Cricetulus griseus: one gene and its partners. The protein of the gene in region 4 interacts with the protein of the main gene of each other region in a biochemical or structural test. Links are inferred from orthologs where the notes say so. Each region holds a gene or a part of one and is shown on either strand. Other genes may lie near its edges.

The links.
Region 1: the proteins of Tbp (region 4) and Btaf1 form a complex in vitro, tested with the Homo sapiens proteins (2 studies listed by BioGRID). The link is inferred for Cricetulus griseus from reciprocal best matches to the Homo sapiens genes TBP and BTAF1.
Region 2: the proteins of Tbp (region 4) and Gtf2f1 form a complex in vitro, tested with the Homo sapiens proteins (3 studies listed by BioGRID, with this or other methods). The link is inferred for Cricetulus griseus from reciprocal best matches to the Homo sapiens genes TBP and GTF2F1.
Region 3: the proteins of Tbp (region 4) and Gtf2e2 form a complex in vitro, tested with the Homo sapiens proteins (2 studies listed by BioGRID). The link is inferred for Cricetulus griseus from reciprocal best matches to the Homo sapiens genes TBP and GTF2E2.
Region 5: the proteins of Tbp (region 4) and Msx1 form a complex in vitro, tested with the Homo sapiens proteins (2 studies listed by BioGRID). The link is inferred for Cricetulus griseus from reciprocal best matches to the Homo sapiens genes TBP and MSX1.
Region 6: the proteins of Tbp (region 4) and Gtf2a1 form a complex in vitro, tested with the Homo sapiens proteins (7 studies listed by BioGRID and IntAct, with this or other methods). The link is inferred for Cricetulus griseus from reciprocal best matches to the Homo sapiens genes TBP and GTF2A1.
Region 7: the proteins of Tbp (region 4) and Brf1 form a complex in vitro, tested with the Homo sapiens proteins (2 studies listed by BioGRID). The link is inferred for Cricetulus griseus from reciprocal best matches to the Homo sapiens genes TBP and BRF1.

What each region holds. Positions count from the first base shown.
Region 1 is NC_048596.1:24,798,253-24,802,229, forward strand, and holds part of Btaf1 (TATA-binding protein-associated factor 172), read right to left. Parts: intron 3,599-3,977; coding exon 3,449-3,598; intron 3,162-3,448; coding exon 3,019-3,161; intron 2,294-3,018; coding exon 2,119-2,293; intron 677-2,118; coding exon 473-676; intron 1-472. UniProt on the Homo sapiens protein: Regulates transcription in association with TATA binding protein (TBP). Removes TBP from the TATA box in an ATP-dependent manner.
Region 2 is NC_048598.1:96,546,427-96,550,843, forward strand, and holds the start of Gtf2f1 (general transcription factor IIF subunit 1), read left to right. Parts: upstream 1-1,344; 5' UTR 1,345-1,609; coding exon 1,610-1,621; intron 1,622-1,706; exon of another isoform or gene 1,707-1,712; coding exon 1,713-1,759; intron 1,760-3,075; coding exon 3,076-3,148; intron 3,149-4,226; exon of another isoform or gene 4,227-4,231; coding exon of another isoform or gene 4,232-4,303; coding exon 4,304-4,417. Other genes in the region: adenylate kinase isoenzyme 1-like, read right to left, coding at 26-225, 931-991. UniProt on the Homo sapiens protein: TFIIF is a general transcription initiation factor that binds to RNA polymerase II and helps to recruit it to the initiation complex in collaboration with TFIIB. It promotes transcription elongation.
Region 3 is NW_023276807.1:51,043,039-51,046,273, forward strand, and holds part of Gtf2e2 (transcription initiation factor IIE subunit beta), read right to left. Parts: intron 508-3,235; coding exon 392-507; intron 1-391. UniProt on the Homo sapiens protein: Recruits TFIIH to the initiation complex and stimulates the RNA polymerase II C-terminal domain kinase and DNA-dependent ATPase activities of TFIIH. Both TFIIH and TFIIE are required for promoter clearance by RNA polymerase.
Region 4 is NC_048595.1:294,452,353-294,456,329, forward strand, and holds part of Tbp (TATA-box-binding protein), read left to right. Parts: intron 1-1,081; coding exon 1,082-1,249; intron 1,250-2,400; coding exon 2,401-2,495; intron 2,496-3,151; coding exon of another isoform or gene 3,152-3,231; exon of another isoform or gene 3,232-3,876; intron 3,877-3,977. UniProt on the Homo sapiens protein: The TFIID basal transcription factor complex plays a major role in the initiation of RNA polymerase II (Pol II)-dependent transcription.
Region 5 is NW_023276807.1:106,760,933-106,765,394, reverse strand, and holds the start of Msx1 (homeobox protein MSX-1), read left to right. Parts: upstream 1-1,397; 5' UTR 1,398-1,638; coding exon 1,639-2,107; intron 2,108-2,213; exon of another isoform or gene 2,214-2,537; intron 2,538-4,383; coding exon 4,384-4,462. UniProt on the Homo sapiens protein: Acts as a transcriptional repressor. Capable of transcription autoinactivation.
Region 6 is NC_048598.1:113,326,689-113,330,665, forward strand, and holds part of Gtf2a1 (transcription initiation factor IIA subunit 1), read left to right. Parts: intron 1-1,101; exon of another isoform or gene 1,102-1,244; intron 1,245-2,035; coding exon 2,036-2,103; intron 2,104-3,659; coding exon 3,660-3,735; intron 3,736-3,977. UniProt on the Homo sapiens protein: TFIIA is a component of the transcription machinery of RNA polymerase II and plays an important role in transcriptional activation. TFIIA in a complex with TBP mediates transcriptional activity.
Region 7 is NC_048598.1:181,046,512-181,050,984, reverse strand, and holds the start of Brf1 (transcription factor IIIB 90 kDa subunit), read right to left. Parts: upstream 2,869-4,473; 5' UTR 2,822-2,868; coding exon 2,638-2,821; intron 1-2,637.

The DNA of each region.
Region 1 (3,977 bases), on a different chromosome or scaffold from region 4:
GGCTGGAAAGATGGGAGATACTGAAGTACACCTGTGATATAATGAACTTGGAAAAATATTAAGTGCAAAATCTAAACACGGGGTATGAATGAGTGTTGCTATTCTAAATGCTGAGTACATGAGCAGTTTTGTGTAACGCTTTTGCTTCTATATGTTTCAATATTTGTATCTTACACCAAGCAGAGAAATACTCAAGAAACCACAGAAGCAGTTTTTCCCATCTACCAAAATCTTATGATACACCAATAAATGACAAAACTTTACAAGTTTTCTATTAGGATGTATTAACTAGTTCTCTGTCCTCTAATTTCAAGAAATTCAGTACAATGAAATAACCTTTCTAAAGAGCAGGATGACAGGAAACCATACCACAAAAAGATTCAACATATTAGTATGCTTCTGGGGTGACACATCATGGCAAATTTCTAATCTTTATTTCATGTAAAGTTAAGAAAGTTACTTCTTTACTCACCAGATCATTAGCTTGATCTATTGTTAAAACATTGTTGTTTATTCTATTACCCACTTCAATATTTGCATCAGCTAATGATGATATAAACTGTTTACATTCATTCTGCATTCGTGTGAATGGAACAGCAATTTCATCATAATACAAATGTTCTGAAAGGATATCAAGTAAACGTGGCTGCACAGCTAGGGTAACAGCTTTACACTCCTAAAATACAATAGATATCAAGACTCAGGAACATATAGAAACATAATGGTAGAGATGTTTAAAATACTGACTTCAGACAACCAAATGCTACATTGCACTGATTTTCAATCTATAGTCTGTTATCTTCCAAAATAGTTAGTTACACAAAAGTATTACATCAAAACTACTTTGAAATTTTAATGTGAATGACTACAGACATGCACATTTAAGTATTATAATTGCATTTAATTTTCAACCTAATTATTCTTAGTGTACTCTGAATTTATTCAATATATGTATGCATATAAATAAATAAATAGATAAACAAAGCAGACATTTTAGAAGTATATTACTATAAAAACCAGTCAGGAATCAATCTGGCATGCACTAAAAATATTATTCAAAATTTGGTATTAGAGATCTTTAACAGTTCAACCACAGCTTCACATGCTGTATTGTAAAAATGGATATAATTTAAAAGCTACTTACCTGCCCCCAAATTTAACTAACCCTTCCCACTCTCTCTGGTTGTTGCCTGCCCCAACAAGAGGGGGAATGGCCTCAGTGGTAGCCATGAGGGGTTCTGTGGGATCTGGGTGATCAGCCTGGGCTTCACAGAGTAAATCCAGAGAAGCTCTGTGAGGGTCCAGAAACCGAACTGTCAACACTTGCTGCTGAGTCTGAGAGGCACAAAAACACAGCATCACTGCCTCTCCAGCACATGGGGTCCTGACAACAAAACAGATTAAGCTTTGCTTCTTTCCAGAGGCAAAGTGGGGTCTCAATTGCAGTAAAGCATGGCTCAATGACTTTTAGACAAAGCTTTGACAAACTGCTAAGAGGCAGTAACAAGCAACTCTCACAGCAAGTGCAGACAGTTAAATTTCCAGAATTCCAGTCAATGGAATAAACAAAACCAGCAGGAAGTTTCTTTGATTTACAGAAACAAGTTTAAACAAAATGATACATCTTACAGAAATTTAAAGTTAAAAAGGATAGAAGGGAATTTGGCTCATTTGGAAATGAAAATTTGAGTTTAAATGTGGAAATCTTTTTCTTGTGACCAAAACTTCTACCTTTGTCACTATCCATATAAATAGAGCTCCAAAATTACAAAGCATTGAAAATGTGCTGCCTGAAAACAATGACCAACTGAATTACACATTCAGGCTTTGGCTTGCATCTTTCTATACAAACAAGACTTTAACAAGGAGCTTTGTAACAGACTGTAGGGATGAACAGATACTAAATATGAGCACAACTTAGTCTCAGATATGAATGGGGTGCTAAAAAAAAAAAAAGTTAAAAGTAAATGGAAAACAAATCATGTTCAATATTATATGAAATACTTTCCCATAACTATTAGATTTCTATAAAGAAACTATAAGTTATAAATAGTCCTAAATACTAATGGAAGTTGGTTTTACTAAAGTTGCCTTTATTACTTTAGGAATATATCTTACCTTTTGTAAAGCAGCCCATTCACAGATTACTAATGCAACACTAATTCTCTGTAACGCAGATTTGGAGTTCAAATGAAATAGTAGTAACTGGCCAAGGGATTCTGCTGGTTTAATTTCTTGGTTTACCATGTTTACACTTGGATCACAAATACAGCAGCAAAGTGCTCCTAACAACCTAAAAGAGAGAAAAAGGCCGTACTATAAAATTTACTTGAGGGAAAACTTCTCTTACTAAATCCATTAAATTTTCCCCATAAAAACGTTAAATTATCTTCTACCTTATTTTCATGAATAGACATGGAGGAGTTTGTTTTGTTTTTGACACAGGGTCTAACATATGCCAGGTTGGCCCTCAACTCTCTGTCACTGAGGATGACTTTGAACTCCTGATCACCCTTTCTCTCAAGTGACACTGTGGATGCACATCACCACACTGTCTATTTGTTGTGTCTGGGGTCAAATCCAGAGATTTGTGTATGCTACAAAAAAATTCTACTAACTGAACCACACCTCCAACTCCAAATAATAATAATAATAATAATAATAATAATTTTGTTTAAATCCAGAGAATTATTATTATTATTATTATTATTTAGAAGACAGGGTTTCTCTGTGTAACAGCCCTGGCTGTCCTGGAACTCTCTTGTAGGCCAAGCTAGCCTGGAACTCACAGAGATCCACTTACCTCTGTCTCCTGAGTGCTGGGATTAAAGGTGTGTGGCACCACCCAGCCATCTATTTTTAAAACTTCAAAAACTTAAAAATATTTACTTGCTTTTTTCTTAGATAACTAGTGTAAAGAACAACTGACAGACATGGGGGAAAATATTTTGGTTCAATTTTATAGCTATTAGCCAAAATTTTCAATATATACTTGACACTTGATAAATGAATACTCACTTAGCTGCCATCATCCTGGCCCTCATAACTACAAAATCCCTGGTAGCTGAGTCTTCCATGATGGTGTCTGCACCTGCAATATACTCCTGAAGCACTTCTTTATTCTGAATTTGACCTTGCCGTACCTTACCACCTGTTTTTTCCTAGAGGAAAAACAGGAAGGAAAACCAATAATTAAAGATTAATCAATTAAATTTAGTTGGAAAAAACAAAGCCAGTAAAATGTAGTTCTTTTCATAAAATTCTAAATTACTATCCAGTTTGTAATAATTACTATCCAGTTTGCCAGAATCTGGATAAAGAATTGATCCTGCCTAATGTTAATGACGACACCCTCAGAATTAAGCAATAAATACAACTTTCTCAAACAGTTACTATATTGGTAATAATGAATTTAACATAGAAATAACTTAGGTTTCTCTATACTTACCTTGGCTTTTGATTTTACTTCTAGCAACATATTTAAATCAATAGGTAAATGAGAAGGCTGCATCATTAAGCAAAGCCAAGCACCCATCCATGGGCAAGCAGCTGCTACCACATACTGAACTGAAGCCTTGCTCAACAGTTCCATCCAAACCTAGGGAGAGAAAAGGAGAATAAACAAAATTTGAAATATACTTTTAGGGAAATGAACTGGAGGGAATATGATACAGTAAAGAGATTCACCTGAAAAGTCAACATAGAGGTTCACTTTGAAACACTGGTTAGATTGATAGGTTTCTATACTACATGAAATAATGCAAAGGAAAGTTTGTGGTTTTGTTGTTTTTCAAGAACATGGGGGACATAAGATTGCTCAGTGAGTAAAGGCACGGGCTACCAAGCTTGACAATCTAAGATTGATTTCCAGAACCTACAAGTGAAAGGAGAGAACCAACTCCTAAAAAGCTGTCCTCTGTCCTACATACCCACAACCAAACTATCAGTTATGGTTTTTTTTAATTTTCATGTATTTA
Region 2 (4,417 bases), on a different chromosome or scaffold from region 4:
GCCCCCCTCTCCCTTTAACTCTCACCGTGGGCACCAGGAGTCCCTGCTGCATGATGTCCCGGATCTGCTGACCCCGCCGGGTGCACCTCTGAGCCTCCTCCCGCAGCAGCTGGCCCAGCCCCACGTGGCAGAAACCGTACTTGGTGGCCATGTTTCTGCACTGTGTCCCTTTCCCGCAGCCAGGGCCGCCCACCACGAAGATGATCAGGGGAGACTTCAGGACATCTGTAGTGTTCATGGAAGACAGTGGGTACTAGTGCGTGTCTTCAGGGTGCCCTGGTCTCGAATCGAAGGATCCCAGTGCTGGGATTCTCTTGAGCCATTTGCACAGACCTCCTTGGAGCACCCTTGTAATTCCATCACCCCATTTTACAGATAATGAAAGGGAGAGGCCCTCAAACTCACGCAGCCGCACCCTGCTCAGTCCAGCATGCGGTGGTCCTGTCTAACCTACCTGCTTACGTCTACAGTCACACCTCCCCCCGTGCTGGGGTCAAGCGTCCCAGCTTGTCCTCCCCCTGCCTCAGACCCCCCTCCCCCCATGCATTCCATAGTCAGCCATGGTTCTTTCTCTCTTTCGGCTCGCTTTGGTCCTCCTAGCCAGCCTCTGTAACCCAGGGTGCATGGCCCTTGATGGTGAAGAAATGAATGTCTCTGCTACCAACCGTGGAAGTCAGTAGCCGTTTATGGTTCAAGGTTTGTGCCTGCCTTGTCCCTCTGCTTAACCAACTCCTATGCATCCCTCAGGCCCCCGTTCTCTGAGCCCTTCCTCTAGAGCTGTAATTCCGCAGGCATCCACCACTGGGGGGGAGAGGGCATGCGCAGCTGCGTTCTTGCCGCGTTAGTGTGAGCACACCCGCACGGTGGGTGGGATACCTGCTCCCACGCCCCGTCCGCCACCCGCGTAAGCCAACCACCCCACCACGTTACCCTTCTCCTGGGTCCTCAAAGTTCTGCCCACCTGGGGCAGCGTGGACTGGCACAGACCCATGTTGCCCGCATGCCGGAGTACGCGGGGGCCGGGTTCCCACCTGCCCCGACCCCTTGGCTCCGCTCGACGTCACAAGGGGCTCATTTTTGCAAGATGCCCGGAATTCCCCCCGGCACCCGGGGCACAGAAAACGGAATCCCAGCCCCCCGCCCCCCCCCCCGGAGCCCCAAGAGTCCTCTCGCGGAGCCGGCCGCGGTTGCTATGGCAACGCGGCCTCCGCACCCGCCACTGGCACGTTGGCGCATGCGCAGGAGTGCCGAGGACGCACTCGCCAGAAGACGCCACTCCCACCCTGCCCAGGATGCACCGCGGTGCCTGAGCCGTGACGTCACGAGGGGCGTGCCCACGCGCCGTGAATAAATCACTCGCGCTGGCGGCGAGAGCGCTAGTCAGAGGCTGGAGACCGCCTGAGCTAGGTGAGTGCTGAGGTAGCTCCCACCCCGGTGTGGCAGTTCTAGTTCCGGGTCAGAGTCACGTCTTCTTGAGACTTAAGGGTTTGGAGACACAAAACACAGGATCATACCAACGTAACTCCCGGGCAAGTTGCCTTCCCCGGGACCGAGGGATACCACGAAGAGCATCGGATCACGCCGCCCCGGAACCGCTTGAGCAACGGCCATGGCGACTCTAGTGAGTATGAATGAAACGGAGAGGCGGGGTGGGGGTGGCAGGACAGATCCACGGCCTCTCCTCGCCTCACAAACCCGTGCTTCCTCTGCAGAGCCCCGGCAGCCAGAACGTCACCGAGTATGTCGTCCGAGTCCCCAAGTAAGTCACCCACACCCACCACACGCTCCTCGGCCCGGTGGTGGCTCCGTGCAAGTCACAGTAACAGTCACACCGTAGTTAATGTCAGGCTCGATGACTCTGTCCTATTTTCAGACGCTCAGGCCACACACGGTGGCTGCGTTTAATCCGGGAGACAGAGGGAGGTGGATCTCTGGGAGTTTGAAGCCAGCCTGGAAGCCAGAGCGCGTTCCAGGACAGCCAGGGCTACACAGAGAAACCCTGTCTCGAAAAAAAAAAAAATTCCCAAACTTAGATGAATGCGAGGCCAAGTAGTCCACCATTAAGCCATACCCAGCCCTCTCTTATTTTGAAGACCAGTCTTACTGTGTAATGTAGTTCTAGCTGATTTGACCAGGCTGGCCTTAAACCTACCAAGACCCTCACACACCTCCGCCTCTTGCCTGCTTGATCTCCTCTTTTTCCCAAGACAGGGTTTCTCTGTATTTCTTTGGAGTCTGTCCTGGAACTTGCTCTGTAGACCAGGCTGGCCTCAAACTCACAGAGATCTGCATGCCTCTGCTCCCCCCTCTCCCTCAGGTGCTGGGATTAAAGGCACTTGCCACCACTGCCTGGTGGCCCACTTTTTCTTTTATTATCTTTATGTGTAAGAATGTTTTGTCTGAGTCGGGTGTTGATGGCACACGCCTTTGATCCCAGCACTCAGGAGGCAGAGGCAGGCGGATCTCTGTGAGTTCGAGGCCAGCCTGGTCTCCAGAGCTAGTGCCAGGATAGGCTCCAAAGCTACAAAGAGAAACCCTGTCTCAAAAAAAAAAAATGTTTTGTCTGCATGTATAGTTATGCACTGTGAGCATGCTGGGGCTTCTGGGTGTGGCTAACTTCTGATAGGGTTGGAGGAGATGGATCCATTTTATTTTATTTATTTATTTATTTATTTATTTTTGATCTAGCTTCTTAAACAAACTCTGGAGCAGTGGTTCTCATCCTGTGGGTTGTAACCCCTTAGGTTCAAATGACCCTTTCACAGGGTCTAAGACCATTGGACCATTGGTCTAATTAGACCAATGGTCTAAGCCTAAGACCATTAGAAAACACAGATATTTACATTATGATTCATAACAGTAGCAAAATTAGGAAGTAGTAACGAAAATAATTGTGTGGTTGGGGATCACCCCAACATGAGGAACTGTTTTAAAGGGTGCAGCTTTAGGAAGGTTGAAAACCACTGCTCTGGAGCTTTTATGAGTTCCCAGAATTACCTACAACCAAGGGGTGTAATCATGGTGGATTTTTTGAATGACTAATCAGTAGACTGAATTTTCTCTTGCCCATTCCAGGAACACAACCAAAAAGTACAACATAATGGCTTTTAATGCAGCTGATAAAGTCAACTTTGCTACCTGGAACCAGGTAAGTCTATAATTCTGGGTGGCTGGGGCAGAGGCCTAACTGGGTGGTGGTTACAGTCATCACTTTCTTGAAGTGGTGGCGGCTACACTTACAACCCTGGCAGATGTGTGGTTCCAACCATTTGGAGGTGTGGTCTGACTACATAAATCCTGTCTCAAAAAAAAGCAAGCCTGGGTTGTGGCTGGTTAATGGAGCATCAACTAGCATATAGCAGGCCAAGTAGGACCCCATGTGTGCTGGACTTGGTAGCACGTGTCTATCATCCCAACACAGGCATGCGGTATAGGTTCTTAAATTGAAGACTATCCTTGGCTATGAAGTGAGCTCAAGTGAAGACTAGGATACCTGGACCATGCTTTAACAAAGACAAAGTATGGCGGGCGCTGGTGGCACACACACTTTTAATCCTAATCCCAGCACTAGGTGTCAGAGGCAGGTGGATCTCTGTGAGTTTGAGGCCAGCCTGGTCTACAGGGAAACCCTGTCTTGAAAAACCAAAAAATAAATAAGGAAATTTTAAAGGCCAAAGTTTTAAACTGTCCACTATTCTGGGTGCCATGTTAAAATGCTATATCTCCATATTGTCTGGTTGCATCTGAGCTATCCCCTGGTGGACACCGCCTGTCTCTGTGGTCTTTCTAAGGGCCCCATTCCCTGGAGTCCCTTTTGTGTGTGACATTTCGTGTGTGCACATGCACTTGTGGGCATGTGGTGCATCTCAGGGCCAGAGGTTGACAACAGGTGTCTTCTTTAGTTACTTTGCACATTATTATTTGGATGACATATGTTAGGCCACAGATGAGTGTGGGACACAATTTGGAGATCAGAGAACAGCTTTCAGGGGTCAGTTTTCACCTGCCTGGGTCTTGAAGTCTAAGGCTTCGCAGGCAACACTCTCTCACAGACTTTCCTCATGAGTTTCTGAGTCAGGGTATCCCACTGAACCTGGGCTTGCTGACCAGTGAGTTCCAGGTACCCTCCTGTCTGTTCCTGCCTGCTGGGGCCTCAGATGCATGTGGCATTGCCCAGCTTTGTTCCTGGGTACTGAGAATCCAAACCCTCCATTCCTGATGCCCAGAGCATATGGAATCCAGCAGAGGGAGACAGAAGGGTGTTCCTGTGGGGCCTGAGGATCCATGCCTGCTGCTCCCCCAGGCCCGGCTAGAGCGAGATCTGAGCAACAAGAAGATCTACCAGGAAGAGGAAATGCCAGAGTCCGGAGCAGGCAGTGAATTTAACCGAAAGCTCCGGGAGGAAGCAAGACGAAAG
Region 3 (3,235 bases), on a different chromosome or scaffold from region 4:
TTTAATCCCAGCACTCAGAAGGCAGAGGCAGGCGGATCTCTGTGAGTTTGAGACCAGCCTGGTCTACAACAGTTCGTTCCAGGACAGCCTCCAAAGCCACAGAGAAACCCTGTCTCGAAAACCAGAAAGAAAGAAAGAAAGAAAGAAAGAAAGAAAGAAAGAAAGAAAGAAAGAAAGAAAGAAAGAAAGAAAGCTCGCTCTCCCAAGCTGGGACATCACCATGGATGGTTCACTGGCCTCAATACATCAGATATGCCCAGCTGTATCTGGCAAGTCAATGAATGCATTAGGCTCCGAGAAAACCTAGTAGAGGGAATCCCTTCCTCACTTGTCAGAGGAAGAGGAGAAGCAGTGAAGAAGTGACGAAACTGCTTTTATAAAGATGACATACCACTTTCTTTGGTCCAGATTCCTGCATAGAAGAAATACCCTGTCGCTTGAGATAGTCTTCAATTTTCTCCTCATCCATTGAATCCACAGTGACGCTCCTCCACAGTTTCTGGAATTCTAAACCAACAAGACAGTAGTTACTTTATCATGGATTTTTATAAACCACTGTATCTTGTGATCTAAATTCACTTTGAATATTATCGGGCCTAAATCCATACAACTGAGATTTCACTAAAAAAACAAACAAACAAACAAATACCTATAATTGTAGCAGTCAGGAGGCAGAGCAGGCTGACCTCTGTGAATTCAAGGACAGCCAGGGTAGCAGCAAATTCAAGGCAGACAGGATACATAGTGAGATACAGTCTCAAAAAAAGAACGAGGGGAGGGAAGGCAAGACTATTCCAGTGCTGGACACAGCAACAGAAGGGGTCTCTGATCTGAAATGCAGCTGGACAGCCACCAGTGTGCTCTATTCTTCAGAAACAGTAAGAGAAGGATGGTGTGGCTGAAGCTTCTCCTATATTCCATGGGAAGAGAAGCAATTAACACTCTTCCCAAATCAGCTCCCTCCCTGTGGCACAAATTATTCAAATACTGGTTCAAGGCCCTGAGCGCAATGTATTCCACCTCTGTACTGAGAGTTAGAAGCATTTGGGGAGACGGGGCACCAAAGCTTTATATGAAGGTGACATGCTTGTTTGCTTACATTTTTTTTCTTTTTTTTAAATCTACTAACCAAGGAACTGGTAAGTCACAAAAAGGAAAACCAAAGCAAAACAGCTGGGGTGGGCTGAGAAATACGCATATGAAACAAAGTAGAAAGATGGGTGTCTAGCCTCCATGTCATTCATGTATTTGACACGCACGAATACAAAAATCCTTTGCACTTTAAATTCTTCTCCTAAAGACAGCTTTAATAACCAAGCTCATTAAGAGCCTTGTCAGCCTTTCCTTACACACACACACACACACACACACACACACACACACACACACACACACACACACAGAGTGATGGCCAAGTCTTACAGTGTGTACTCTGGGAACTGAGAAAGGGTGGCTCCCAAACACTGAGGTGGTTCACAAAGCTTCCTGTTTACCACAGCTCAGAGGCTGCAGACCAGACAACTATGCCAACCCCTACACCAACATGCCTCTTCCTTCCTTGCCAGTTCATTAACCACACACTTCATCTGCAAGCTATATGACAGCTCAGTGGCTAAGACTATTCTTGCGGGGAACCCATGATTTGATCCCCAATATGCACATGGTGGCTTACAACCTTCTATAACTCAAATTCTAGGGGTTCAGATGTCCTCTTCTGGCTTCCATGGCCTTGCTCACTCACATGCAGTGCACAGAAATACATGCAAGCGAAATACCCATGCACATAAAAAAAGATATTTTTTTTCAACTTTTATTACAAAACAAATGGTGACTAAGGCTGTACCCATGTGAATCCATGCATACTAACTAATGCATTATCTCAAGGGTCAGAGTTCATACAGCCAGTTCAGCTACTGTTTGGTATATTACCACACCTTCAACACACTCCTGAACTCTACCAGGAAGAAGGCCCCCAAATACACCTCTTTTCTGTATAACTCACTCAATCTGTGACACTTAACAAAAGACTGGGATACAATCTCAAACTAAGAGTAACAGCTGCGGGCAACATGACCACAAACTACATCACAGTTATAGTAATCAAGGCAGCACAAAAACACAGAAACAACCTACAAAAGAGAATATAGAAAGGACTAACTTAACATGAGTTAAAATAAATATCTCAGTTGGCTTTTCTTTTCTTTCTTCCCCTCTGCCCCAAGACAGGGTTTCTGTGTGTGTGTCCCTGACTGTCCTGAACTAGCTCTGTAGACCAAATTGGCATTGAACTCAGATCCATCTGCCTCTGCCTCTGAATGATGGAATTAAAGGTGTGCACTACCATCGCCAAGCTTAGTTAGTTTTCAATATGTGAAACAGTCTGTAAAAACAGAAAATGGGAGAAGGAAATATAAGGGTTGCTAGAGAGATGGCTCAGCAGTTAAAAGTAACTGCTGCTCTTCCAGGAGTCAGGTTGGCTTCCTCAGTACCCATATGGTGGTTCACAACCATCTCTTTACTCTAGTTTCAGGAAAAAGCCCTTTTCTGGCTTGTGTGGGCACCAGGCAGAGAAGTGTATGCAGATATACATGTAGGCAAAAAGTATAAAGTGTACCAGAAAAATCTACTTGAATCTACAAGTAGAAAAGGAAGGCAGGTTATCTCATACCATAGGTAATAGTCAACTCAACATGGATTAAAGACAGACAGAGACACAGACACACACAGTTTTTAAGAGCTCTCTCTTTTTTTTTTCTTTTAATTTATTATGTATACAGTGTTCTGCCTACATGTATCCTGGAAGGCCAGACAGAAGAGGGCACCTGATCTCATTACAGATGGCTGTGAGCTACTTTGTGGTTGCTGGGAATTGAACTCAGGACCTCTGGAAGACCAACTAGTGTTCTTAATCTCTGAGCCATCTCTCCAGCCCTGGTCCTGTTCATTTTTACTAAAGCTGTCAATCCTCCTTCCTCCACCTCCCCTGTGCTGGAATTACGGGCATCAACCATGGCCAGCAAGTTTTTAAATAAAACATTTTTCTTGCCGGGCATTGATGCCGCACACCTTCAATCTCAGCACTCGGGAGGCAGAGGCAGGAGGATCTCTGTGAGTTAGAGGCCAGCCTGGTCTCCAGAGTGAGTGCCAGGATAGGCTCCAAAGCTACACAGAGAAACCCTGTGTCAAAAAACAAAAACAAAAACAAAATCACTGACCAAGTAGGAGGAAATTTTTA
Region 4 (3,977 bases):
TTTGTTTGTTTGTCTGTTTTGAGACAGGGTTTTTCTCTGTAGCCCTGGCTGTCCTGGAATTTACTCTGTAGACCAGGCTGGTTTAGAACTCACAAAATTCTGCTTGCTTCTGTCTCCTTAGTGCTGAAATTAAAGCAGTGCACCACCACCGCCCTGCTGGATTAGCATGTTTTTTTCAAATGCTTGGAACCAAACATATATATATTATTCTTATTTCCTGTACATTTGTGTTTTGCCTACATGTACGTCTGTGTGAAGGTGCTGGGTCCCCTGAAACTAGAAATACAGACAGGTGTGAGCTGCCATGTGGGTGCTGAGAATTGAACCCAGGTCCTCTGGAAGAGCAGCCACAGCTCTTTACTACTGGGCCATCTCTCCAGCCCTGGACTAACACTTTCAATGTGTTATCTTTAATGGTTTATCCTAATCACTTTGAATAGCATCAATGCCCACTTCTCATTTTTGTTACCCCTGATTTCCTGTACTTTAGTATTTGCATCCTACTTTTGTGGTGAAAGCTAAGTTGGAAAGTCAGTTCCATCCAATAATGTTGTCCTAAGAGTGGATGGAGATCTGATGTAAAGGAAGATAGAATTTATGTATTTGTCAGTAGTAAATTTTACTAGTCTTTTCAGTTTTTTGTTGTTGTTGTTGTTTTGTTTTTCAAAAATGGGTTTCTCTGTGTATCCCTGGAACTTGCTCTGTATACCAGGCTGGCCTCAAGATACACCTGCCTCTGTCTCCCAAGTGGTAGGATTAAATCTGTGTGTTCCACCATCCGGCTTTAGTATTTTTTTTTTTATATATAAAAATGAGGTTTCCATCTCAGTAGATATTTGTGGGTCAGAATGTAGTAAAAGCAATGATCATAATTGAATCACATGCTACATCACATCCTTTAAACCTAGAGCTTGTCGGTAATCTGGCAAATCCAAGGCTGATGTTTTGGTAGATTATCCTTTCTGTTAAGGTCACAGGGATAGTTTAATTAGTTTTCTAATTTAGACTCCATTTAAGTTATTCTTCTGAATTACTCCATTAGGCTTCTGTACATACTCACTGTTTTTTCTTTTTTCTTTAGTGAAGAACAATCCAGACTAGCAGCAAGAAAATACGCTAGAGTTGTGCAGAAGTTGGGCTTTCCAGCTAAGTTCTTAGACTTCAAGATCCAAAACATGGTGGGGAGCTGTGATGTGAAGTTCCCCATAAGGCTGGAAGGCCTTGTGCTGACCCACCAGCAGTTCAGCAGGTAGGTCTGAGAGATATTGGGATTAGTGTTAGCAACAATCCATTTACTATCTACTCAGGCATCATTCAGGGTGAAGTACATGTAAGACATTCTGTTTCTAAGCTTATGATGTAGTTGCAAGTTGAGTGTGCTCCATGTAAACATAAGGTATCTCTGCAATTGTGCTACTGCACTTTTTGCTGCCCTCTTTCACTCAGTGACCGACACCCAAACTCCTTCCCTGGAGCGACTCAGATCACTTCTGTATGCCTTATCATTTTGTTAGTCAGTAAATCCATTTACATAAATAAATTTGTAGTTTCTTCTACCATTTTTCTCCTAGTTTGAATCTTTTTTGTCAACACACCAGCAAAGTATACAAATGAGCAAGCAGGGATGTGCTGTCCTTTATTATTCCTTTCCATTTTCTTCTCACCCTTACCTCGGTTATTTGTTTTCTATTTGCGGCCACATCAGCTCACCAGCCCCCTCACACTTACCCTAATCCTCTTGCTTCAGGGCCTTTACACATGGTACTTTTATACCTGGCACATTAGGTTCAGTTTTTAACATAGAAATTCCTTTTTGAGTTTCAGATAGTCAGTGTTGCTCCTTTTCATATAAACCTGTCCCAAAAGAGTTTTTTTCCAGGTTACACATAAGACACACAGGTCCTTTTATCAGATTAAACAAACCTGAAATCACTAGGTTAGAATTTCATTAATGTCAGTTCAGGTAGATGATGTGATCAGGGAGTAGGTTCATTTCCAAGCTCATGGTTTGTCACTCTGGTTAAGTCACCCTGTTAGAGTATTTCTATTCAGGAAGGTGATGTATGATTACAAGGTTGACTGCCACTATCAACTCTTAAGAGTGCATGGTGAGATTAAGCTGCTATCCCTAGACTTGCCCAAAATGAACCTAATGAGGGTCAGAGAATGTGAGTATACAGTCTTGTTTTTATCATAGAAAATCTAGATTCTGTGAGGACAGCATAGAAAGCCATATCCATGCCATTTGGCTCTTGCTTGGTGAAAGTGTTTCCTTCTTGTGTGTCCTATTTGTGGACACCTGGCTTGTTCACTCAGTACTTCCTGACACAAGGCCTCATTGTGTTTACACACAAAAAAAAAACTGGTGATTCCTAAACTGTTTTCCCATTTTCTTTCTAGCTATGAGCCAGAATTATTTCCTGGATTAATCTACAGAATGATCAAACCCAGGATTGTTCTCCTTATTTTTGTTTCTGGAAAAGTTGTATTAACAGGTAAGTTAAAGGGATAGAGTACCAAACTTGGAAAGAATTTAGGATGGGATTTCTGTGTTGGGACAACTGCCTAGCCACTTGTAAGGAAGATTTTGTTTACATTTTGCTTCCCATCCTTCATGAGAAAGGGGGAAGAGTGAAAACACTAGAGTTCTGCTACAGTTGTAGCCTGCGGCTAGACTATGTTTGACTGTGGCAGCAGGCAAGGAGGAAACACGAATACTAGGAGGGTGGGGGGTATTGCCTTGCTTGCTGACTTGTGGATCCTGGCCTGCGACCAACTGGTGAGGAAATGCTGGTCTAGAGTTAAAAGTCTTTAAACGCTAAGAAAATAATGTTTTAAAAACAAAAGCTGGAGAGCGGGGCATGGCCCTTAATCCTAGTACTCAGCAGGCAGAGGCAGGCTAGCCTGGTCTACACAGCAAGTTCCAGGACAGCCAGGGCTATACAGAGAAACCCTGTCTCTTAAAAAAGAAAAAAGGAAGGCTAGGATTATGACAAAGGGCCTCCACCATTTATTTTAATACCATTTGTTTGTCTTAACTGGGTATGGAGAGAACTGTATTTGTGGCTTTGTTTTAAGGTAATGATGTTACTTTCTATTTTAAGAAATGTTACTTAAACCATCTCGTTTCTATTCCAATGTGTCTTTGTAGGTGCTAAAGTTAGAGCAGAAATTTATGAAGCATTTGAAAACATCTACCCCATCTTAAAGGGATTCAGGAAGACCACATAGTGGCTGCCATGTCCTGCCTCCCCTACCCACTTGTTTTTTAAAACCCGTCAGTTTTGGTACCGCTCATGGTACAGTTGTGAGAAGGACACTCAGTTACAGGTGGCAGCATGAAGTGACACCGTGTGTCCCACTGCAGGACACTGAAAGGTTACCTCCTCTGCAGTGAGATCGATTGCCCTGCAGCATTACTGTGAGTCGCTTGCTCTGTGCTGCTACTTGGGCAGCACTGCCCATTTATTTATATTTAGATTTTAAACACTGCTGTTGATGAGTTTGTTGGTTTAAGGGACAGAACTTTTAAGTGTTCAAGCCACCTGTACAATTGGACTTTTTATTTTAACTTTTCCCACATAAGCCAGTTTTTATATTTCTACCAGAAAAGTAAAAATCTTTTTTTAAAAGTGTTGTTTTCTAGTTTCTAACTCTTAGGAGTTATTTTTGTGCCAGATACATTCCACCTTCCCAGTATTGCAGAACTCTAAATAGTTGTATTAATCAAAACAAATGTACATACTTTTCTTTCTTTGGAGTACTCTGCACAAAAAAATGCAGCCTGTAAATTGTTAGATTTTTGTTACAAATGATACCTTGTAAGAGTCATGTGATCATACTGTCAAAGAAATTTATTTTAGATATAATACCTGAGACCGTTGTTTTGTTTGCTTGTCATTTTTTTTCCTTTTTCTCAATTGCAGTGAAAATGGACATACCAGTGATTTTACAATCCCCATTGAACACCCTCCTAT
Region 5 (4,462 bases), on a different chromosome or scaffold from region 4:
GGCCCTGTGGGCAGACGTAAGGCTCTGCTCTCTCAGGCGTCCGCAGCCCGACCCCTCCCTCCAGACCCCGGACGCCGTCTGGGTAATAAAGTAATTCATTTTCCTTAATCTGGTCGCCCCTAATCTACAGCTTTTTATTGCGCCCAGTTAAAAGGCCAGGGAATTCGCTATCCCTCCGTGCTCGGATAATTACCCCTAAATGGCCACGGCAGCCCCTTGTGTTTCCTGGAGATTAGAGCCCCGCAGTCATCAATGCCCAGTCCCAGTGAGCCGCCAATCACCTCCTCCAACTCCCCCGGAGCCGCGGGCCTGGGCCCTGGGATAAGACAGGCCATAAAAGAAAGCAATCCCCTCCCGCCCCCGTCCGAACCCAGTTTACATAGCTCTTCTGTGCCCCTCAACAACTTTCCTCCTTCTTATATCAGCAAAAATAAACCTTCGAAATTAGGCAAACAAAAGTTTTTAAGCCTCGCACCAAAGTTACGATGCCAGGAACTGCTTCCTTCCTCCAGCCCCTTCTTCACATGGCCTCTGCTCTCTTCAACAACGTAGACCCAGCGTTAGAAAAGTATTAGGTTTTTGAGGACTCATTGTCTGAGGTCACGCTGAGGCCAGATCGGTGTTTTGTTGTTGTTTCCAATTCTCCACCCAAGGGTTCCAAGGGCTCCTTTGGCCAGCAGTTCTCTAGTAGAGGTGTAACTTTCTGGAGAAAAGTAAGGGAAGGGGGTACATGTTTGTATGAAAACCAAGCGCATTTCCCAGATTATGTTACATGTTCTTGCACCCACAGAACCAATAGGGCCCAGGCTTCCTTTGAAAAACTTGTTCAGCCTCTAGAAACAAAGGTCCACTTTTACCCCGAGGTAAACTTTTTAAGATTGAAATACACAAGACATTTAGGGTTTTTTTTTTTAAGAAAGAAATTATTATTATTCCTTTTCTACTCTGACAAATAAGTATGATCATTCAAAACAAATATGAGAAGAATTTGTAAGTGAACTGAAGTAAAAACCTTCGTGGTAGAAAAAGGGGGCCGAAGAGGGAAGGGGGCCAGAAAGAAATAGCGACAGCGAAAGAAAGTAGGCTATGAAGGGGAAAGGAAGAAGTGGGTAAGGGGCAGTGAAGGACGACTAGGGAAGAAGAGAAGAGCTAATGAAGGAAAGTCCCTCTGGAACTCGGTAGTATCCAAGTCTAGGGGGACTCAGCCAGGCAGATGCCCACCAGGCTAAATCGGGCGGAAAGGCTCCCCAGGTACCTTCAGCTCTCTTCAGCCCAGAGCGCCCCCAGGCCGGGCGCGCCTCGGGACAGGAGCGCGGCCCAATGGTTCTCTCCGGGCCCGCCCCCTCGCGCGCTGATTGGTCGCTGCCGCGCTGGCCTTGCCTTATTAACAAGTTCTCAGGGGAGCGGCGGCGGACCCGGAGCCGGCGAGTGCGCCCGGGAACTCGGCCTGCGCGGCGCAGTGATCCAGGCCTAGCTCGCCCCAGCCGGCCTTTGGGAGAGCCGCGGGAGGCTCTCGAGGGAGGGCCGACCGGGCCAGGGTCCCGGGAACTCGCAGAAGCCGGCCGCGCTCCCAGCCCGCCCGAAACCAATGCTCCAGGGCTGGCCCGAGCTGCGGCTGGAGTGGGGGTCCGGCTCTGCATGGCCCCGGCTGCAGCTATGACTTCTTTGCCACTCGGTGTCAAAGTGGAGGACTCCGCCTTTGGCAAGCCTGCAGGGGGAGGCGCTGTCCAGGCCCCCAGCGCTGCTGTGGCCACGGCGACCGCCATGGGCACAGATGAGGAGGGGGCCAAGCCCAAAGTGCCGGCTTCGCTACTGCCCTTCAGCGTGGAGGCCCTCATGGCTGATCACAGGAAGCCCGGGGCTAAGGAGAGCGTCTTGGTGGCCTCCGAGGGGGCTCAGGCAGCGGGTGGCTCGTTGCAGCACTTGGGCACTAGGCCCGGGTCGCTGGGCGCCCCGGACCCGCCCTCCTCGCCCCGGCCTCTCGGCCATTTCTCAGTCGGGGGACTCCTCAAGCTACCAGAAGATGCTCTGGTGAAGGCCGAGAGCCCCGAGAAGTCAGACCGGACCCCATGGATGCAGAGTCCCCGCTTCTCCCCGCCCCCAACCAGTAAGTAGCCAGCCTAGAACAGAGAGCGAAGGGGCCAGAAGGGGGTGTGGGGCCCGAGGGCGCCAGGCCGCGCGCCGGCGCCGGCTTGTCTCGGGCGTCGGCGTACCTGCATCTGGGTACCTGGAGGCCATGAAGAGGTTGCGTTGGCGGGGAGGAGGCCTTTTGAGCCTCTTCTCACTCCCACCCAGGAAGAGAGTTAGAGGCTTCGAGCTGGCAAACCCCTCAGTCCGTTTTCGTGGGCTCCTTGCCTTGGCACAGTGCCCCTGAGTGTGTCAGTTCATTTGTAGCGCGCGGGTGTTTGTACACCCTCTTATCCTTCCTGTACTTAGGACACGGAGGGTTTCCTGCTCCTCCACCTGACCCTAAACACAGTTATTTTGCACCCTACTTAGATGGGCCCAGCGGCCAGTACATCTTCTCTCTGCGGAGTTTCACTTTCTGGTAGTAGCACCTCTCCAGGGATTCCGGAGCTCTGCAAAACTCCTCCCCTACCCATCAAGTTATGAACAGTTACTTGGTGTGCTGGGCCAGTGGATGATGTAGCAAGAGGGACAATCGTGAACAAGTGTGTGTGTGTGTGGGGGGGAGCAACACGACAGCCAAAGGAGCGCCCCATTTATCGCTTTGCTAGCTTCGGAACGTGTTGGACCTGGCTTTCAAAGCCGACCCAGCAGCCAGCGACGTGTTACAGGATAGTCCTAAATCCTCGTGGCCCTCAGGCGTCTTTACCCAGCGAACCCGCTTGAAGATATTTCAGGAGCACGGGAAATTCCCAAGTTTTCCTCGTTTCCTCCGATTATTTCGTACCACATAATAGCATTGCAAATTCAATGGCGTGATGCTGAGGAACGATTTTTATCTGGGGATTAAACGTCTTTGAAAAGACAGCCCCTCCCTGGGCCTAACAGTTGGTGAAGGTGGCCCAGAGCTGGGCTATTGATGCTGACCAAAGTGACATTTCCCTATGAACCCTCCCTTCTCTTGGCGGCCTGGCAGAAAACGAGTCTGGGGCCAACTTCTTTCCGGACTTGCCTTAGCCCGAGCTGGGGAAGAAGGGGAGATGTTAACTGGAAATTTCGTTTGACTCACATCCTAGTGGTCTGAAGACCCAAAGGGTTATTTTTTTTTTAAGTGCCAAGAAATGCATAGTTAGGCAAAACCCGCATGGTGAGACATCCTCAATTTCAATTCGCTTTCTTAAAGGAAAAACTGCTGCAGAGGCAATGCATCCTCCTGGAGACTTAGGAATTTGGTTTAGAACTTCAGCCTCTAGGACCCCAAGTCAAGGCAATCCCTAAGTGTGTGTATGTTGTGTGTGTTGTTGTGGTGGTGGTGGTGATGTGTGTGTGTATATGTGTGCAGGTTTGTTTTATCCTGCAACAGTGTTGTCAGGCATAGCAGAGGTGATGGAGGATTGAAACCCAGTCCCCTAACTGGGCCTGCCCTCCAAACAGTGGCAGCACTCAGCTGAGATTTAACCTTTACTGGGAAAACTGAAAGAAAAGATTAGTGGGCATCACCAGTCACTGGAAACTGAGCTATGTTGGAGAAGCTATCACATCCCCCACACTAGGCTTGCTGTGGTCCAAGAATCCTGGCGCTGAGTTTAGGAGACTGTTAGGGAAAACTGAGAGCAGCACATCTACATGATATGTCCTCATATAAGAATTGTCACAGTATGACCTCTTGGATGGCTCTTTTCTTTCGATTGTCCCTAGAGCCCAGTAGAAGCATGCTGTTTGATAGAAAGTGTGGAATTTCAAGATCCATTCTAGGGTTGGAGAGATGGCTCAGCAGTTATGAGCACTGACTGCTCTTTCAGAGAACCTGGGTTCAAACCCCAGGCACCCACATGGCTGTTCACAACTGTCTGTAATTCCAGTTCTAGGGGACCAAACACCCATAGCAAAACATCAATTCATATAAAATAAAAATAAGTATTTTTTAAAAAAAGTAGTTCTATGCAGTGGCCTACCTCCAATGCAGTACATTTGGTGGACACAAATACAAATGTATAACTAAGGTATAAAACCCAGTATGGCCTTAGGTTGGCCTAAGGGCCTCTGAATGTTTTATGGCCCCCTTAGCATTCATCTTCCTCTGTACAGTGGCCCAGAAGAGGCCCAGGGAGGGGAAGTCCTGACTTTAAGGTAGGTTGGCACTTTTGCAAGTGCTCCTTAGTGCCTAGCATAGATGTGCTTGGGCGAAATCAGTGCCTAGAGTGGTTTCTGTTCTTTAGTAATACACTCTTAACTCCTTGCCTTTTTCTTCTCCCGGTCCCCTAGGGAGACTGAGTCCCCCAGCCTGCACCCTACGCAAGCACAAGACCAACCGCAAGCCGAGAACGCCCTTCAC
Region 6 (3,977 bases), on a different chromosome or scaffold from region 4:
AGGCCATTGTGGTCTACAAAATTAAGTTCCACGACAACCAGGGCTATACGGAGAAACCATCTTGAAAAACCCAGGGGGGAGAAACAAAGAATCCATCATATATAGCTTTTTTTTTTTTTTTTAATATGACGAAAGTCTATCCAGTTACAAAATTTTCTCAGTATTGTACTTAGATGAATCTTGACTGGAAAGGAAACAGGATAAATGAAAGCTTAGTTTAAGGTATCACTGTTAGGTAACTCATTTGCTTCATCTCAGTATGTGAAATACAGAATGAATACGTAGTAGAACAGCCTATATGATTTGGCTTAATGTTTATAGGTTTTGAATATCTTTTTTTTTTTTTTTTTTTTTTTTTTTTTTTTTTTTTAGAATTAATTTAGTGTTTGTGAGGGAGTGGGAAACCATGGTACACATGTGGAAGTCAGAGGACAACTGGCAGGAGTCTGTTCTCTCCTTCTACCGTGTGGGTTCCAAGTATGGAACTCTTGTCTTTAGGCTTGGGGGCAAGTGACTTTGCCTGCTGAGCCATCTCTCCAACTCTTTTTATTTTTTTAAATTTAATTTTTACAAAATTATAATTTCACTTGTCAATCCCTTCTCCCTCTCCCTTCCCTCCCCCCAACCCCTCACCAGTCCCCTCCTTGCTCCCCCCTCTGCTCCCCATGGAGGGTAGGGCCCTCCACTTGGGGCTCCCCAGATTCCACAACATCATCCTGGGCCGGGCCTAGGCCCTCCCCCATGTGTCTAGTCCAAGAGAGCATCCCTTCACGTGGGATGGGTTCTCAAAGTCCCTTCTTACACCAGGGAAAAATACTGATCCACTACCAGAGGCCCCATAGAGTACCGAGGTATCCTCATTGACATCAAGTTTCAGGGTTTTGGATCAGTCCTGTGATGGCCTCCCAGACAGTAGTCTGGGATCCATGTGCTCCCTCTTGTTCAGGCCAGCTGTTTCTGTGGGATTCACCAGCCTGGTCCTGACCCCTTTACTCATCATTCCTCCCTCTCTGCAACTGGGTTCCAGAGTTCAGTTCAGTGTATAGTTGTCTCACCAACTCTTAATACCTATGCTAAGTCTGTACCACATAATCACATCCTTGATGACTGTTCCTCCTATTGCCTTTAGGCATGGCACTAGGATTTTAGGTCATCATAAATTAAAATTGATTTTTTTCACTCAGAGGATATCAAGGTAATGGGATTACCTGTGTATTCTCTGAAATTTGCGGGATCAAACAACTCTATTCTTTGACTGACATTGACATTGTTTCTGAATTGTGTGTGTGATGCCTGTGTGTGCACACACAGATGTAGTTGCTCACATACTATGGTGCATTCATGGAAGTCAGAGGACAACTTCCGGTGTTGATCCTTCTTTCCATTTGTTTGAGACAGGGTCTCTGTTGCTTTTCCTCTACTATATACACCTAGCTAGCTGTTCTGCTGTCTCATTGTCCTTGTAGCTCCCCATATGCTGTCCAGAGCATTGGTGCTATAGTGCCCTTGCTGTGTGGCTGTCTGGCTTTTACCTGCGTTCTGGGGATTCAGACTCAGGTCCCCATGCTTGTACAGCAAGCACTTACACCCATTGATTTCTATTTTTTAAATAGCTAATTAAAGTGCCACGATTGTGGTAGCTGTCAAGTTGGTCAAAGGATGTTGTAGGGTTTTTTTTGTTTGTTTTTAGACAGTGTCTCACTAGGAAGATCACGCTGGCCTTGAACTCAGAGATGCACCTACCTATTTCCTGAGTGTGTTAGAATTAAAGGCATGTACTACCATGCCTGGCCTAGGTATTGTCATTTTAATGTTTTTCAATATAAAATGAATATATCTCAGCTGTTGATTTCCATAGAAAAATTTAAAAACTTCTGAAATAGAAAATAGTCTGAGAGTATTTTAATGTAGAAACACAACAGAAGCATGAAAAAAGTAAAAAGTGTTTGGCATTTTATAGTATTACTGTGACTGTGAAGTGTCCTCATGGTTCCTTGTTTACAAATATCTTTTTTTTTTCTTTGTCTATTTGTAGCTACGGCACCACAAGTTATTGTTCCTGATTCTAAGTTGATACAACATATGAATGCATCAAGTATTACGGTAAGACTTGAACATGACACTTACATTGGCTTCAGTTATTTAACTTAAAAATTGCAATTATTCCTATGTGTATTGTATTTAACAGTTTGAGGATTATGGAAGATTTGAGCAAAATAGCTGTTAGCCACAAATCTAAAGTGTAGCTTAATCTTAAACATTAAAGTTCATACAATTATGTAATTTTTTCCTTAATACCAAATACTCTTTGTGGTCAATACTTTATAGCTGTAGGGAATCAGCCAAGCATATACTGACACCTTCTGTTTCAGAAAGTTAGTTAGTTGTAAGAGGAGGGGAATGCTAACAATCCAGGAAAGCCATTTTTTTTTTAAATTTTATTAGTTATTTGAAAATTTCATATGTATTTTATTTATATTCACCCCCCTACTCCAACTCTTCCCAGATCCACCCCTTATCTTTTACCTGCCAACCCAAGTTTGTGTCTTCTGTTTTGTTTCTCTAAACCATCAAATCCAGCTGTGTTGCCCATGCACACACAGCATGTGGCTTTTCAAGGACACTGTTTCTAAAGTTTCATGTTTAAAAGAATCTTTGCTCTGACTTAAACATAATGCACAGTTTGTTTTCCTGTAATCTCTAAATTCATACCTTAAAATGCAAAACAAGACTAAGCAGGTTGGTATGCACTTGTGATCCCCAGTACTCAGGAGACAGAGGCAGGAGACTGACTTGATGTTGAAGACCAGCCTGTCTGGGCAGTAAGTTACAGACTAGAGAGACATACAGACATACAAGACTGCACTCAGAAAAAGAAAAGAAAAAGCCGACGAGTTACTAAAATGCGAAATTATATCCAGGATTTGTATCAATGTATGCAGGAAAAATACCATCAATAGACCTTTGGGTTCACATATACAAGGTAGAGAGTGTGTGTGTGTGCGAGTGCGCATGCACGCATATACACACAAGTATTTTAAATCCGGGGAAAATATCTGATGTTTGAGATAGTTCTGAAACTTTTGGATAAGAAACACTCATCTCATTACATATTTTACCTAGATTGTTGTGTCAGTGTGTTCATGCTCCTTTTAGATAATGTGGCATCTTAGAAAAATTGCCAGTTATAGAAACCAAGGAATTCTTCAGATTGTCTTTTAGGGGGAGACCTGTTGATTTTGGGAGAAATGTAAAAATGAAGAAACAAGGATGGCTTGACTTTGGCCTTAAGTATATTATTGAAGCAGGAAATTGGGTGTAAGGAACCAAACAGTGGAAGGATGGCAGTCATGGAATGGTGTCCTCACGGTACAACTTTACTGTGAGTGCATGTATTTCTAAAAACATACTGAGTCTGTGAGAGCTTGAATCAGGAGGTTGCTTAGAGTAAGTTCTTTAGGGGAGCCAGACCATTAGACTTACAATTTCTTGAAAGACTTGAATAGGTTATTTAGGCTCTCTTGCCACATGAGCGCACCCTGTTGTTCGAGTGCCTTTCAGTCAGTTCTCCATGCGCTGTAAAGTACACTACAGATAAACTGAGGTCTACTTGGCGCGCACTCGTAGATACGACTTTCCCTTTGTTTTTCTTCTTGCAGAGTGCTGCTGCTACGGCTGCCACCTTGGCCCTCCCTGCAGGCGTGACTCCCGTTCAGCAGATACTAACAAATTCAGGTAATCAGAACAAGGAAAGCGGCTTAAATATTGTTCAGAAACTAACACCAAGTAGCTCTTAATGTTTTATTGTCACTGAAGGGAGGCAGTACTGACGCTTGTTAAGATCATTTGAGGGCTATAGGATATAGAATTGTAGTCTTTGTTGAGGGTATAATTGAAAAAATCAAAGTTGTAGCCAGGTGTGTGGTAGCACACATAATCGCAGCAGTTGGGATTTGGAGGCGGGATCAGATGTTCAA
Region 7 (4,473 bases), on a different chromosome or scaffold from region 4:
CACCACTGCTATGACAAAAGCTGAAAACAAAACCTCAAGTCCAAATGGATACATTGGAGAAGTACACCTCATATTTAAGTAAGACAGGACCAAGAAGTGGTAGGCACACCTCTGTATCTTTGCTAGGTAGAAGACTGAGAGGCAGGAACATCGTGAGTTTGAGGTCAGCCTAAGTTACACAGTAAAACTAAGAAAGGAAAAAAGAGCAGAGTGCACTGTTTACACACAATCCCTTCCAGAAAGTGAGTGGGACATTGCTCATTTGCTTCAGGAGTGTGTTACTTTGACATCTAAGGCTGACAGGTGTTAAACTACGGACTAATATTCCAAGTAAACAGATTAAAATCCCTAAGCATAGCCGAGCAGTTGGGAGGCAGAGGGAGGCTGGTCTCCATGAGTTCAAAGTCAGCCTGGTCTACAGAGTGAGCACCAGAACAGCCAGGACTACACACAGAGAGACCCTATCTTGACAAACATAAAAAAAAAAAAAAAAAGAAAAAAAACTTCAGGCATGTTCAACAGAAAATACACTAAGTGAGTTTACCTCTGGAACTCGGAGGAGATTCAAGAATTTGCCAGAGGGGCTAGGGAGCGGTTCAGGGAATTAAATGCTGTGCAAGCCTGACTGAAGTTCAGAGCACCAGAACTCACATAAAAGCTGGTCAGGTGTGGTAGCCATCTATAACCCCAGTACTTGGGAGTCTGAGAGAGGTTGAGAAAGTAGCCAGTTCAGCAAGAGACCTTGCCCTAATAAATAGTGTAGAATTATCAAGCAAGAATCTGATGCCAACTTTGTGTCTCCTCACTCATGCACCCATACATGCATGCATGCAGACCCTACACGCACCCTGCCCCTGCCGCCTACAGAAATTAGCCACACAGGGCCTGGTGGTGCATGCTTGTAATCCCAGCACTTGGGAGGCAGAGGCAGGCTCAAAGTTTGAGGCCAGGCAATCTACATAGGGACACATTGTCTCAAAAAAAAACAACAACAAAAAGAAGTTAGGCCTTGTAGTACAGCCTCATAATCCCCATACTTACAAGGCAGAAGCAGGACTGCAAGTTCAATGCCTGCCTGGACAACTTGGCAAACCCTGACTCAAAATAAAATGACAAAAAACACTAGGAATATAACTCAATAGCAGAGCACTTGCTTAGTGTGAGCAAGCCTGGGTTCCAGCCCCAGAGCCATACACACAGATACACATAAATATGCATATACACATGCACACACACGTACATACATATATACACACAGATACACATACATATACACATGCACACACGCGTACATACATATATACACATATACACATACATATATACATGCACACACACGTACATACATATATACACACAGATACACATACATATACACATGCACACACTCGTACATACATATATACACATATACACATACATATACACATGCACACACGCGTACATACATATATACACATATACACATACATATATACATGCACACACACGTACATACATATATACACACAGATACACATACATATATACATGCATACGCGCGTACATACATTTATACACATATATATATACATACATATACACATGCACACACACGTACATACACATGTAGGTACATATATACATGCATACACACGTACATATATACACACAGATACACATAAATATGCATATATACATGTATACACACGTACATATACATACATGTATACATGCATACAGCACATATATACATACATATATACATGCATACACACGTATACACATATACACATATATACATATATATGCATGCATACACACATACACACATATACATACATATATACACACGCACATATATATACATACATACACACGCACATATGCATACACACACACACACACACACTTACACTACAACAAGAGGGAAACTGACTACAAATCTCCCATTCTAAAAAGGAAGCAAAAGCTGGGTGACTCACATCATCCGATCCCAAGGCATGAAAGTGTAAACAGAGCGTAGGGATGCGCACAAAACAAGAGCCCAAAGCAGACACACATGGTGTCTACGGTGATCTCTGCTGAAGGTACAGTCTTAGCAAACCGTGGAAAACGACCTCCGCACGCGAGAGAGAGGCCGCAGCCTGCACATCATCATTCCCCACAAAACCTAACTCTAGCTGTGGCACGGGCTTCCCCGGCATAGGATCGGCTCGCCAGAGGTCCTGGGTGAGAGCCCCAGGCACAGAAAACACAAACAGAGCGACGTTAAAGCGTGAGCAACTACTTTCAGAAGACAAAAATGTGGTGACTCAAGCAACAACATTTTAGATTCATCACACACGCACACAGGCACGCACACGCACACGCGCGCACACGCACACGCACACACACGCGCGCACACGCACACACGCACAAACACACGACGGACTGGAGCGTTTCATGCGGTCGGGGTGAGTAACGTACAAAGAGGGACTTGCAAGTGGAAACTCCGCGGCCTCTCGGCACGCAACGGTCAGCAGACCGCGCAATCAAGCGCCGGGGCCGGGCAGAGCAGCGGGCAGTGCGCACCTGTCAGCGCGCACGGCCGGGGAGCGCGGGGGAGCGGCCTCAGTTTCCCGCCGCCCGCCCGCCGCCCGCTCGCCCGGGACCCACCGTCCAGCGACACGAACTGGCCGACCGCCGACGAGCCGCCGCCGCTGTTCTCCACGAACTGCACCTCGGACACGATGATGTTGTCCTCGAGCACCGAGCCGCAGCCCGTGCACACCGCGTCGCCGCGCGCCGCGTCCAACTCGATGTCGGTGCCGCCGCAGCCGCGGCAGACGCGGCCCGTCATGGTGGCGCCGCCGCGGGGCCCCGCCGGCCCCCCGCCGCTCCGCCGCCCGCTCTCCGCCGCGGCCCTCAGCCCGCCAGCGCCCGGCGCGCCGCCTCCGTCCGAGCCGCACTCTCGCGATGCCGCCGGCGCCACGCCTGCCGATTCGTCGTGGCCGATTCGCCACGCGCGCCCGGGCCGCGCCGCCGCCAACGGCCGCGCCGCGGGACCCAGAAGGGAACTCAGGACGCGTCTTCGCCGCGACGCCGGGACCGAACCGCCATCACTCCGCCGGCCCGCCTGCCTGAAGGGACGCTCCAAACCCGGAGGAGCAGGCCTCGCGAGCTACGGGCCCGCGGAGGGGACAAGGGCCGTGGGCGGAGCCGGGGCTGTGGGCGGGGACAGGGCGGGGCTTAGCGCGACCGGGCCCGGTTGGGGCTGTGGGCGGAGTCTGGGAAGAGTCCCCAGAGGTGTGGGCGGAGCCTGGGTCGACACGGACTGTGGGAGGAGCCAGGGTTGGGCCAGGGGCGGGGCTTAGCGTGACGGGGCCCGGACTGGGGCTGTGGGCGGAGTCTGGGAAGAGTTCCCAGGGGTGTGGGCGGTGCTAGAGGCGGGGCCGAGACCCAGGAGCGAGGCGTGGGCGGAGCTACGGAGAGCAGGCGGAGGGAGAAGGGGCTTCTGGAAACAAAGCCCTGGGAACGGATTGTAGGCGGTGCTGGAGAGCGTCCAAGGTCCGGCCCAGGGTCGTGGTGGGACCTGCGTTGGTTGGGACAGTGGCCTGTGGGAGGAGCCCGGGGAGTAAGCACGCCCTAAGGCTGGACCAAGAAAGAACTGCGTGCCAGCCAAGTTGTGAGAGGGCCCAGGAGAGCTCTCAGACCAGCTGCACCTGGCTAGGGTGAGCCCTGGGTCCCCTCAGCCTGACTTTTCACTCCCTGTTTCCTGGAAACCACTGGCTTGGGGAGGGTGGTGAGCTCTTGCGGAGTGGAGCCCATGCACGGCCCTCAGGATCTGCCGGGGCGGCTCACTATCCAGCCGTCCTTGGGAGGTTTAGCAAATCTTGTGCTAAACTTGCCAAAATCCTCCCCCAGAGGTAGGAAACTCCAAAGTTAGGCTGCAAAACGTCACAGCAGCTCAGATTGAATTAGAAATTGCCCTTCCCCGGGTAAGAGGAAACATTGTAAATGTGGCAACTCCTCATAAGCTTGCAAAGCCAGTGTAATAATCCCAACTGAAGTATCAACAGAATTGTTTGCTTTTCGAGACAGGGTTTCTCTGTGTAACAGCCCAGACAGTCCTGGAACTCGCCACCATCGGCTTGCTTCAGCAGGATTTTTAAAAGAACTTGGAAGAGCTCTCCTTGAAACATGGCAAAGAAAGGGTTTGTGAGATGGCTCAGCAAGGAAAGGTGGTTGCCTAGCAAGTCTGACTGTCTGAGTTCGATCCCAGGAACTCAGGTAAAAGTGGATGGAGATAATTGACCCCACAAAGTTTCCTTTTACCTCAACCCGTGTGTACGTACGCTTCCCAACACCATACACACAGTAATTTTTTTAAACTTGAAATGGCAGGTGAGAGATTTAAAAGATCTGAAGTGCTGCTTATCACCCCAAAAAATTCCAACCAGCCCAGGAATTCACAGCTTGTCACTGAATGTTTCAGAAGGTCCAGGATGTAGA